3 linked regions of the Kluyveromyces lactis genome follow. The protein of the gene in region 1 interacts with the protein of each later gene in a pairwise test. Links are inferred from orthologs where the notes say so. Each region holds a gene or a part of one and is shown in the gene's direction. Other genes may lie near its edges.

Region 1 (3,820 bases):
ACTGCTCGGTCACGAAATGATCGTTTTGGACGTTGACAACCTTCGCACCATTATACATGCAACAAACCATAAGTCTGTTATTTGACAGTCCGTCATTCGTTGGGGCCTCCGAGAATCTCCAAACACCACCCTGTAAATTGTCTTCCCATTTATTAACCACAGGGACGTCTGTCCCTGGATATATTGTGGTTTCTGAGAGCATTCTTAGATCAAAGGATCGTATATGGTCATCATAAGAGCCTGTGATTAAACTTGTTGGCTTGTTGCCTCTAAATGTCTCCCTAGCAGCCTTAATTGCCGTAACACCAGCTTGATGAATTTTTGAATTGGACCAGATCTTTTTGCCTGAATTCAAATCATGAGCTGCAATTGCAGAGTCGTCACCACCAGTGAATACAACATCTTTCAAAGGAGCCAAACAGCCGAACTCGCCGGTCCAGCACTCCAAAGAATGTTTGAAATGAAAGATTTGTTCATGGTCATTCTGAACATTTATAACTTTGATGTCTGCATTTGGCACCTCAATATAATTTATTGTTGAGGAGTCGAAATACGATGGCTCCACCTCCTCTATAAAGCATATTTCACCATGTATGATATCAACAGTAGCAAAATCCCCATTAGTAGTGGTTAAAAGTACGAGATTATCCAGCAATGGAGAAAACTGGAGAGACGTTATTAGACATGTGGGATCAAATACTTGAAGGTTGTTCAATAGTTTGATATCAATTGATGAATTATCATCGTCGACAGATATCGTCCACAGAATCATATTACCGGTTGAATGAGCTGTTGCGAGTAAAGTATCATCGAATGGATTGAGCTTCAAATCTAAAATTGCCCCATAGGTTTTTATGCTAGAAAGAAGGTTCAATTCTTTATCATAAACCTCAATAGAGCCAGTTCGATTGCCTGAGTCCTTATGCAAGAGATAGGTACCCACAATGATAAATTTCTCTCTTAAAATACACAAGCAACATGGAGGAAGACGCGTGGTAACCCTTTTATCAGCTGCAGTTTCTTCCATTCTGCAGAAACTCTTGACTTCTAATTTTGTCGCTCCTCTAAGGTGGTATGCAATACCTATGTTGGAGTCGTACTCTGCATCCTCATCATGCGGGTGCTTTTGTAAAGATTGTTGAGCCATCCATCTGTTCTAGTTCAGGTTTACCACACAATTTCTTTTTTACACTTTACGTACTAGCGGAAAATTTTAATATGTTAACCAGCTCATCTCATCATAAGCAAAGCATCAGCACAACAATCTTAGCAGTTAACGGCAGGTCTACAAGCAACACGGACTAGCAGCATGCCACCAAAGGAAACAACAAAGAAGTGGAAACCTCCAAAGGGTCCAAAGCCTATTCAAAGGAAGAATAAAAACACTATTGGGTTAGGTAAGGCAATTCAAACTGCAAGACGTAAGGAAAATGAAGTGCAGTATTTGCCAGATGGTGAAGAACGTTTCACTACCGATAAGCACGAAGCTAATTGGGTAAAATTGAGATCTGTTACTCAGGAATCTGCATTAGATGAATTTTTGAGTACTGCTGAGTTAGCAGACAAGGATTTCACAGCGGACAGACATTCTAATGTCAAGATCATCAGAATGGATAACGGTGCCGATGCAGCCACATCCCAGGGATTTAGTTTGACCAATGAGCAGAAAAGTAAGATCAACGAGAAGCAGAGATTACATGCTAGAGAGTTGATTGTCCCAAGAAGGCCTAAGTGGAATGAATCTATGACCAGATTTGAATTAGAAAGGTTAGAAAAGGAAGCATTCTTGGAATGGAGACGTAAATTAGCCTATTTGCAAGAAGACAACGAGGATTTGTTATTGACTCCATTCGAGAGAAACATTGAAGTTTGGAGGCAGTTGTGGAGAGTTGTTGAGCGATGTGATCTAGTAGTCCAAATCGTGGATGCCAGAGATCCATTATTATTCAGATCCACAGATTTAGAGAAATATGTGAAAGAAGTGGATGACAGGAAACAGAATTTACTTTTGATCAACAAAGCGGATTTATTAACAAGAAAGCAACGTATTATTTGGGCCAAGTACCTTCTCTCGAGGGGCATCTCTTTTACATTCTTTTCTGCTGCCAAGGCTAATGAAATATTAGAGAGACAAGAGGAACTAGGGGATGAATACGTTGAAGAAGAGGACGATGAGGAAATACTGGCTACAGAGGAAGAAATTGAAGAACTTGATGGGGAAGAAGTGAACAAAGAAATTCTGGATAAAATTAACATACTGAAGATCGATCAACTTGAAGAATTGTTCTTAGATAAAGCGCCAAACGATCCGCTACTTCCTCCATTGCCCGGTCAAGAGCCAATCATACAAATAGGTCTAGTGGGTTATCCAAACGTTGGTAAGTCTTCCACTATAAATGCCTTGGTGGGTGCCAAGAAAGTTTCTGTCTCTTCTACCCCTGGTAAGACCAAACATTTCCAAACTATCAAGTTATCTGATAAGGTAACGTTATGCGACTGTCCAGGTCTAGTTTTCCCTAATTTTGCATACAATAAAGGTGAATTGGTGTGTAACGGTGTTCTACCGATCGATCAGTTACGTGACTATATTGGGCCATCGACATTAGTGGCAGAAAGGGTCCCTAAATACTTTTTGGAAGCCATTTACGGTATCCATATTCAGACCAAATCCGTAGAAGAGGGTGGGAATGGTGAAGTACCAACTGCACAAGAATTACTCGTTGCTTATGCCAGAGCTCGTGGTTATATGACACAAGGTTTTGGTGCCGCAGATGAATCTCGTGCCTCTCGTTACATTCTCAAAGATTATGTGAACGGTAAACTCCTGTACATTAATCCACCGCCTCACATGGACGATGATACGCCATATACCAGAGAAGAATGTAAGGAATTCAACAAAGATTTATACACGTTCAGTAAATTACCTATCAACAGACAAGAGCAACTTGCAGAAGCTGCCAAACACAAAGGTATACAAGATTTGGATCTTGCTCGCGATTTAAGTCGATTAACGTTCTCTGCTCATATTGGTGGTGATGGTGATAAAGTACAAGCTAAATCTGTCAACCATGGTGGTAAACAAGCAGCCTTGTACAACGTAGCTGATGAACTTGACAAAAATTTCTTCCATTTGAACGGTGTTCAAGGCAGACTTACGAACCCTTTCCATAAGCAAACCGTCGCCAACGAAAATGGTAAGAAGCATAACAAGAAGAACAAGAAGAGTAAGAAAAAGGCTTCCATGTTTTCCGATTAATGTAAGTACTATCTAAATTCATCCTAAACTCTTATATATATATAAATCCACTGTTTGCACAGTCTATTATCCCCATTCATTATGGAAATGTAACTGCATATCCTTTATATCTTCCTTAGCTGCCCTGCTTCCGGTTATAAGACCTATGGTTAGCATGCAACTTGTCACTGCATTACCCGGTGTTTACTGAAAAATTTGATGAACCAAAAGAAAAGGATACAAAACTTGGTTAAAGTTGGTTTACTTTATACTTGACCTCAGTACATGGTCCAGTTGATAAGTATTCTTGTCATTTGTGGTTATCTTTTTGGTTCCTAGCTCAGCAAACAAGGGCTCTTAAACACATTTCGGCATGTTCAATTATGGTTCGCGTTGTGGTTATCATGGCGCAGACTTATTCCACGCATGTAGAAGTAAGCTCAAGATGCCCAGAGCTGGGATACTCCCATTTAACGCCCTTTTCGCTAACAACAACTGAATTCCTACAGTTTGTAGTTTGATAGTAGGTGGGCGGAAATATTACCCATTTAATTGGTTCAGTAGTTTCCTCTGAAATATTATGAG
Region 2 (3,108 bases), about 480 kb from region 1:
ACGATGATGGACCAGGTTCGAATACTAATAAGGTTATCATTGTGTCCAGGTCTCAGAGCAAGCTGGTAAAGGCTTGTGAGAGAATTGGCGTTGATGGTGTTTCTTTGGACCGATATGTCAACGATACCAATAGAAATGAAACAAAATTGATATATCACAGCTGTGATACGTCATCATACGACAAAGTAGCATTGATGTTCAAGCTACTGGTCAAGAGTGAATTGGTTCCATCACAGGTGTACATGTGTGCTGGGGGGTCAATCCCAAAACTGTTCTTAGATTTGACACCGGAAGAATTACAAAACGGTATCACAACAAATTATTCCACCGCCGTGAATTTGGCCCATGTTTCTTTAAAGCATGATGTGCCCCATCTTCTGTTCTTTTCCTCCGAGGTAGCGTTCTTTCCTTTCATTGGATACGCTCAGTATGCTCCTTTGAAACAGAGTATAAGATCTTTGGTTGCAATCTTGAGACAGGAACATTCAAGTACAAGAATCACCTGTGTGTACCCAGGTAATTTCCAAAGTGAGGGCTTTGATCTAGAAAATATAACTAAACCTGCAATTACAAAAGAAATTGAGGGACCCAGTAATCCAGTGACCGCTGCCCAATGTCGTGACAAGATCATCTCGTCATTGAAATGGGGGCTTGATGATATTACCACAGATTCTATTGGTTGGCTATTGATGGCGTGCGATCAAGGTTTAAACAAACATAGCACCAGCCAATTCATGTTCGTGTTTTCATGGATCCTAGGTGCCTTGTTGAACATTACCATCGTGCCTATCTACATGTTGATTTGCAAATTCCAAATCTATCAATGGAAAAGGAATAAAGATACTAAGTAGTGTGTTACTATATACCCTGAGAGAGCTAGATATCTAAGTATGAAATATATTCCCAAACGACTCACATAGAACAAAGCCAGTGGATCGAATCGAGTAGTCTTTATTTACATCATTGGCGTCCTATTGGGGACAGTTTACCCATAGTCATCGCCGGAATCTTTCTTTTTTTTTTAGTGCGTGAATGTTTGAAAATTTTATAGAAGCTCATCTCATCTCATCTCATCGAATAGGTTCAGGTGGCTAGTGATGAGAAACAGTAATTAACAGCCTTGTTATTTTTGTACTTCTTGGAGCAACATTATTAAATATTAGTTTGCTTTGTTTAGTATCGACGGAGCGGGAGAAATAAACCTACACGAACTAAGGTAAAGGACAAAGATATGGCTGGATATACTTGTAACACTTGCGGTGTTGTGTTTGACACTGCGGTTGGCCAAAGAGAGCACATGAAGTCGGACTGGCACAGATACAATTTGAAGAGAAGAGTCGCTGGTTTGCCATCCATAGATGAAGCTACTTTTAGTGAAAAGGTTGCTAATGCTCGTGTAGAGAAGGAAGAAGAAGAGAACAAGCATAAGAAGGATAAAGTTAAACAGATGACGAAGAAGGAGATGCGTAGGTTAGAAAAGGAGAAGTTACTAGCCAAGAAGCAGCAACTATTGCAGCTCGCTAAGGAGTCTATGTTGAAGAACATGCAAGATAGTACTCCTGTTAATAAAGCATCAGATGATCCTGAGGTGCAAGTAGAAGCAGAACAGAAGGACGAAGTTGCCAAATCCAAAGCAGAAGAGATTCCAGAAGAAGAAATGACCCCCGATCAACTTGCTGAGAAGTTAATGGCTGAAAAGCTTCATAACAGAGTTGAAATTCCAGAAACTGAGTGTCTATTTACCGGTAAGAAGTATAAAACTTTTGAAGAAAATTTGGATCATATGTTCAGAGACCATGGTTTCTATATTCCAGAACAGAAATATTTAGTTGATAAAAGTGGTCTTTTCAAATACTTTTCGGAAAAGATTGGTTTGGGTAATATGTGTTTCTGCTGTTCTTACCAAGGTAGGTCCTTAGAAGCGGTCAGAGCTCATATGCTATCGAAAAAGCATTGCCGTATTCCATACGAAACGGAAGCTGAAAAGTTGGAAATATCAGAGTTTTATGATTTTTCGAGTACCTATGAAGAGTTAGATAAAGCCGTCAACGAGGATGAATCCCAGTGGGTGGATGTTGATGAAGATGACGACGGTGATATTGAGAATGATAAAAAGGAAGATGATGAAGAAGAAGAAGAATTACCTGAACATATACTATACAACGACGGTGTCGAATTACATCTACCTACTGGTGTGAAGGTTGGTCACAGAACCTTACAACGGTATTACAGACAAAATCTTAAACCTGAGCGTGAACTTAGTGAGGGCCAAGGTACTATCGTTGCTGCAGACACCAGACACTTCGCTACCATTTTCGATAGACAACAACAACAAGTACAAAAGACTACTTGGCAAACAGAAGTCAAAGACAAGAAAAGAGACGATAAAAGAGCTGCCAAGTTCGTTAATAACCAACCTCATTACAGAGACCAATTGTTACAGTAGATTCACTGTGATGAAGAACATTTTTGCATATGCACTTGGGTTTACGGTTTTACTTTAGTATTTAGATATATAGATCATTGCATTATCCTTAACAAATCTACCTCTATACTCCGTATTAAATATTCGGTCATTTCCTTTTATTATTGCTATGTATATATGAAATATGATTATTCCGCACTACATCGGACACCTATTCATTCACTTGTTTGTTTTGTTACTGTTCTTCTAAAATTCCTTCAATTACCTTTCTTTCATCTCTCTCAACATGAAAAATCTCTAAAGACGTAACGTAAACATCAATACATTTCAGCGTTGGATGGGAATAGCGTTGAGTTGTTCTAACAAACTGGTTAGTAGTGACAAGGTGAATTGAATCACACAGCTGAATCCATCATGGGTAGAAAATTATACTATGTGCTGGCCACTTTGCAATTGGTTGCTGTATTTCTCTTCTGTGGAGGATTCTTTCCGCAAAAGGTTGTTTTGAAGAATGATTCTAAATTCATTGTGAATCCGGAGGTACAACTGGCCTCTAAACCCGTGTTCAAGAAACTAGTGTTGGTTGTAATTGATGCTCTGCGGAGTGATTTCTTGTTCCAGAAAGATTCTTCAGACTTCGAATTTTTACATGGACTATTGAACTCAGGCGAGGCCTGGGGCTA
Region 3 (2,913 bases), on another chromosome or scaffold:
GTAAAACCAAGAACATCACAAATAATACACTATACCATGGACAAGTGCGATTATTCTGATGTTAAGAGAATACCAATCGAATCTGGATTGGAAAATGAACTATGTGCCATCCTATACACAGACCAATACAAGGAACTCGTATCATTATTCGTTGCATTATTACAACAAAATGAATTATCTGAAAGAGCAATGGCAGTAACTGCCGCGGTGATTGAGACTGTACCAGCGTTATACACCGCATGGAACTACAGATTCGAGATTTGCATGTCCTTGTTCCGGAAAGAAGATGTATCCGCATGGGAGAAAGAATTGGATTGGCTCGATGAGTTCACCTTAAATAACCCGAAAAACTACCAGATTTGGTCGTACAGACAAGCGCTACTCTCAGAACATCCATCCCCCAAATTAGTGCGAGACCTTCCTATACTAGACGTGATGATCGATGACGATACAAAAAATTACCATGTATGGTCGTACCGCAAATGGTCCGTCCAATTCTTCAAAGATTGGTCCCATGAACTCGACTTTGTGAACAAGTACATCGATAGAGACGTGTATAACAACAGCGCCTGGACCCATAGAGCTTTTTATTTGAAGAACGTCGATCATGTTCAAGAGGAAGGAGTAGCAGAGGTGGAAATTCAATACTGTATGGATAAGATATTGTTGGCTCCACAAAACGTAAGCCCCTGGAACCATCTACGTTTTATTTATAAGTCATTCAAGAATAACGAATACGATTCCAAGTTGATTAATTTTGCTTCGTCCTTCATAGATAACGCCTTGGAGACATATACCGACCAAGAAGAAAGACCAATCTCCCATGTTAAGTCTTCTTTCGCATTGGAGCTCCTAGCTGATGTATATTCTCAAACAGACTCGGAAAAGTCCAAGATCGCATATCAGGCATTAGCAGACACTTGGGATCCTATAAGGAAAAACTACTGGAATTTAAAAATCAGACAATTAACTATATAGGATTGTATTATTAACATACAAGGATGCCTTGTCGCGCAAAGGGCTCCCACATCCAAGCTCACTTGGCTATCCTACCCGTCGGTACTACAGAAGTATCATATCATCTCTACCTTCACTGACACAAATCACGTTTCTTTCCCTCAACTAGACTGGAAAAAAATTGTTCCAAGGCCAAAAAGATTAAAGAAGAAGAAGCGATGAGATGAGACGAGGTAAAGTTTAATGAGTGGACGGGAATCGCCTCAGAGAGAGATATTAGTACCGGCAAGTATTCATAAATAATCAGCTACAATCATCTGCAATGGCGAATACTGAATCTGATATTACAAGAGTACTAGGTGGGATCTATGTTGGTGGTATTCAACCAATTGCGAACCATGTTCCACTGAAAGTGAATTATCAGATCACTCACATCCTATCAGTGATCAAATTTGAGATCATTCCAGAATACTTGGTCAGGAAGAGTTATACTTTGAAGAATATTCCTATTGACGATAATTTGAGTACAGATGTGTTGCAGTATTTCAATGAAACGAATAGATACATCGATTCATGCCTGTTTCCCGATGAGATAGAGCTTGACCGAGTGAAGGTTGATTTCAAAAAGAAGCCCCAAAAGGGTGCCATATATATACACTGCCAAGCAGGTGTATCCAGATCTGTTACGTTTGCAGTAGCGTATTTAATGTACAGATACGGGTTCAATTTGAAGACAGCTTTACATGCAGTGAAGAGGAAACGGAGCGTAGCTGAACCAAATGAGAACTTTATGGAGCAACTGAAGCTGTATGAAGCCATGGGTTCGAATATAGTGGATGTCGAGAATAAAGACTATAAACAATGGAAATTACAGAATTCCATTAAAACTGATCCCTTGGGAGCCAATATCATGGCTCAAAATGAAATGTATAAGTCTGAAGAAGTTGAAGCTGAAAAGGTAGCTAAGTTATCGAAAGAGGAAGTAGAAGATGTTTCTGCGATCCGTTGCAAAAAATGTAGGTTTAGACTTGCATTTTCCACTTCTTTCATTAAGCATGATCCTCCAAGTAAGGAATCAATGGAAGGTCATTTCATTAGGAGGGCCGCAGGATCTAGAAGAATTATTGATATTCAACAATCACAAGACCGTTGTTCGCACTATTTCGTGGAGCCTTTGGAATGGATGAAGAAAGAATTACAAAAGCAAGAGCTTGAAGGTAAATTTTTCTGTCCGAACTGTGATAGCAAGATCGGAGGTTACAATTGGAAAGGTTCTAGATGCAGTTGTGGTAAATGGATGATTCCGGCAATCCATATCCAAACAGCTAAAGTCGAACAAATAGCATTAACTAGGAAAGACCTACCTAATTTAGTATCGTTTGAAGAATAATGGTCTCTCAGTACTCGCATAAATATCATTCATAAAGGTTAGCATTTTTTATTTTATTTGTTTAATACATGTCATTCTTCTTTAATAGGCATTTAGGTGAGGCTAGATACTCGTGAACCTTGAGCACCGGAGTCTAGAGTATCAGATATGGTCAACGATGGCTGTTCATGGACCGAATCCTCATTTTCATTTACAAATGGCAGTGCATCCACATTTGAATGCCTGGATCTTGACCGGTTGGTATAACTTGTATCAATTAATTGTGAATCCTCAACAAACGTACCTCTCGTTCTGTCGAGCATAGATCCTTGTTCGTGAACTTCCGCATACTCGTTATCGTAATCATAACTTTGATCGTACTCTTCTTCAGATTGTTCACCAACTTGTGCTGTCAGCAGTACCGATTGTTCTGTATGTTGATGATTATGATTTGACACAATAAATGAAGAGGAAGTTTGGTAGGCATTAAGTATTGGTTCTTGCCCTGAATTGTGTTCATTTTGTTGCTTGTTCTGTTTACTTCCCTTCTCCTTTTCGATCTCTTTTAGGGTTTTATCAATGCCAAT

Evidence for each region.
Region 2: the proteins of LSG1 (region 1) and REI1 interact in binary tests that used the Saccharomyces cerevisiae proteins (3 or more experiments, as listed by UniProt). The link is inferred for Kluyveromyces lactis from reciprocal best matches to the Saccharomyces cerevisiae genes LSG1 and REI1.
Region 3: the proteins of LSG1 (region 1) and YVH1 interact in binary tests that used the Saccharomyces cerevisiae proteins (3 or more experiments, as listed by UniProt). The link is inferred for Kluyveromyces lactis from reciprocal best matches to the Saccharomyces cerevisiae genes LSG1 and YVH1.

The regions. Positions count from the first base shown.
Region 1 is NC_006042.1:641,367-645,186, reverse strand, and holds LSG1 (ribosome biogenesis GTPase LSG1), read left to right. Parts: upstream 1-1,309; coding exon 1,310-3,256; downstream 3,257-3,820. Other genes in the region: RRT2 (diphthamide synthase), read right to left, coding at 1-1,147. UniProt on the Saccharomyces cerevisiae protein: GTPase required for the nuclear export of the 60S ribosomal subunit. Acts by mediating the release of NMD3 from the 60S ribosomal subunit after export into the cytoplasm.
Region 2 is NC_006042.1:161,564-164,671, reverse strand, and holds REI1 (Rei1p), read left to right. Parts: upstream 1-1,231; coding exon 1,232-2,446; downstream 2,447-3,108. Other genes in the region: TSC10 (3-dehydrosphinganine reductase), read left to right, coding at 1-851; mannose-ethanolamine phosphotransferase LAS21, read left to right, coding at 2,840-3,108. UniProt on the Saccharomyces cerevisiae protein: Pre-60S-associated factor involved in the cytoplasmic maturation of the 60S subunit. Involved in the dissociation and recycling of other late pre-60S factors like ARX1, TIF6 and ALB1 before newly synthesized large ribosomal subunits enter translation.
Region 3 is NC_006041.1:1,604,156-1,607,068, forward strand, and holds YVH1 (tyrosine protein phosphatase YVH1), read left to right. Parts: upstream 1-1,279; coding exon 1,280-2,347; downstream 2,348-2,913. Other genes in the region: RAM2 (bifunctional protein farnesyltransferase/protein geranylgeranyltransferase), read left to right, coding at 37-978; MND2 (Mnd2p), read right to left, coding at 2,440-2,913. UniProt on the Saccharomyces cerevisiae protein: May be directly involved in signal transduction and/or cell cycle regulation. It is necessary for maintaining growth rate or spore germination. Could show both activity toward tyrosine-protein phosphate as well as with serine-protein phosphate.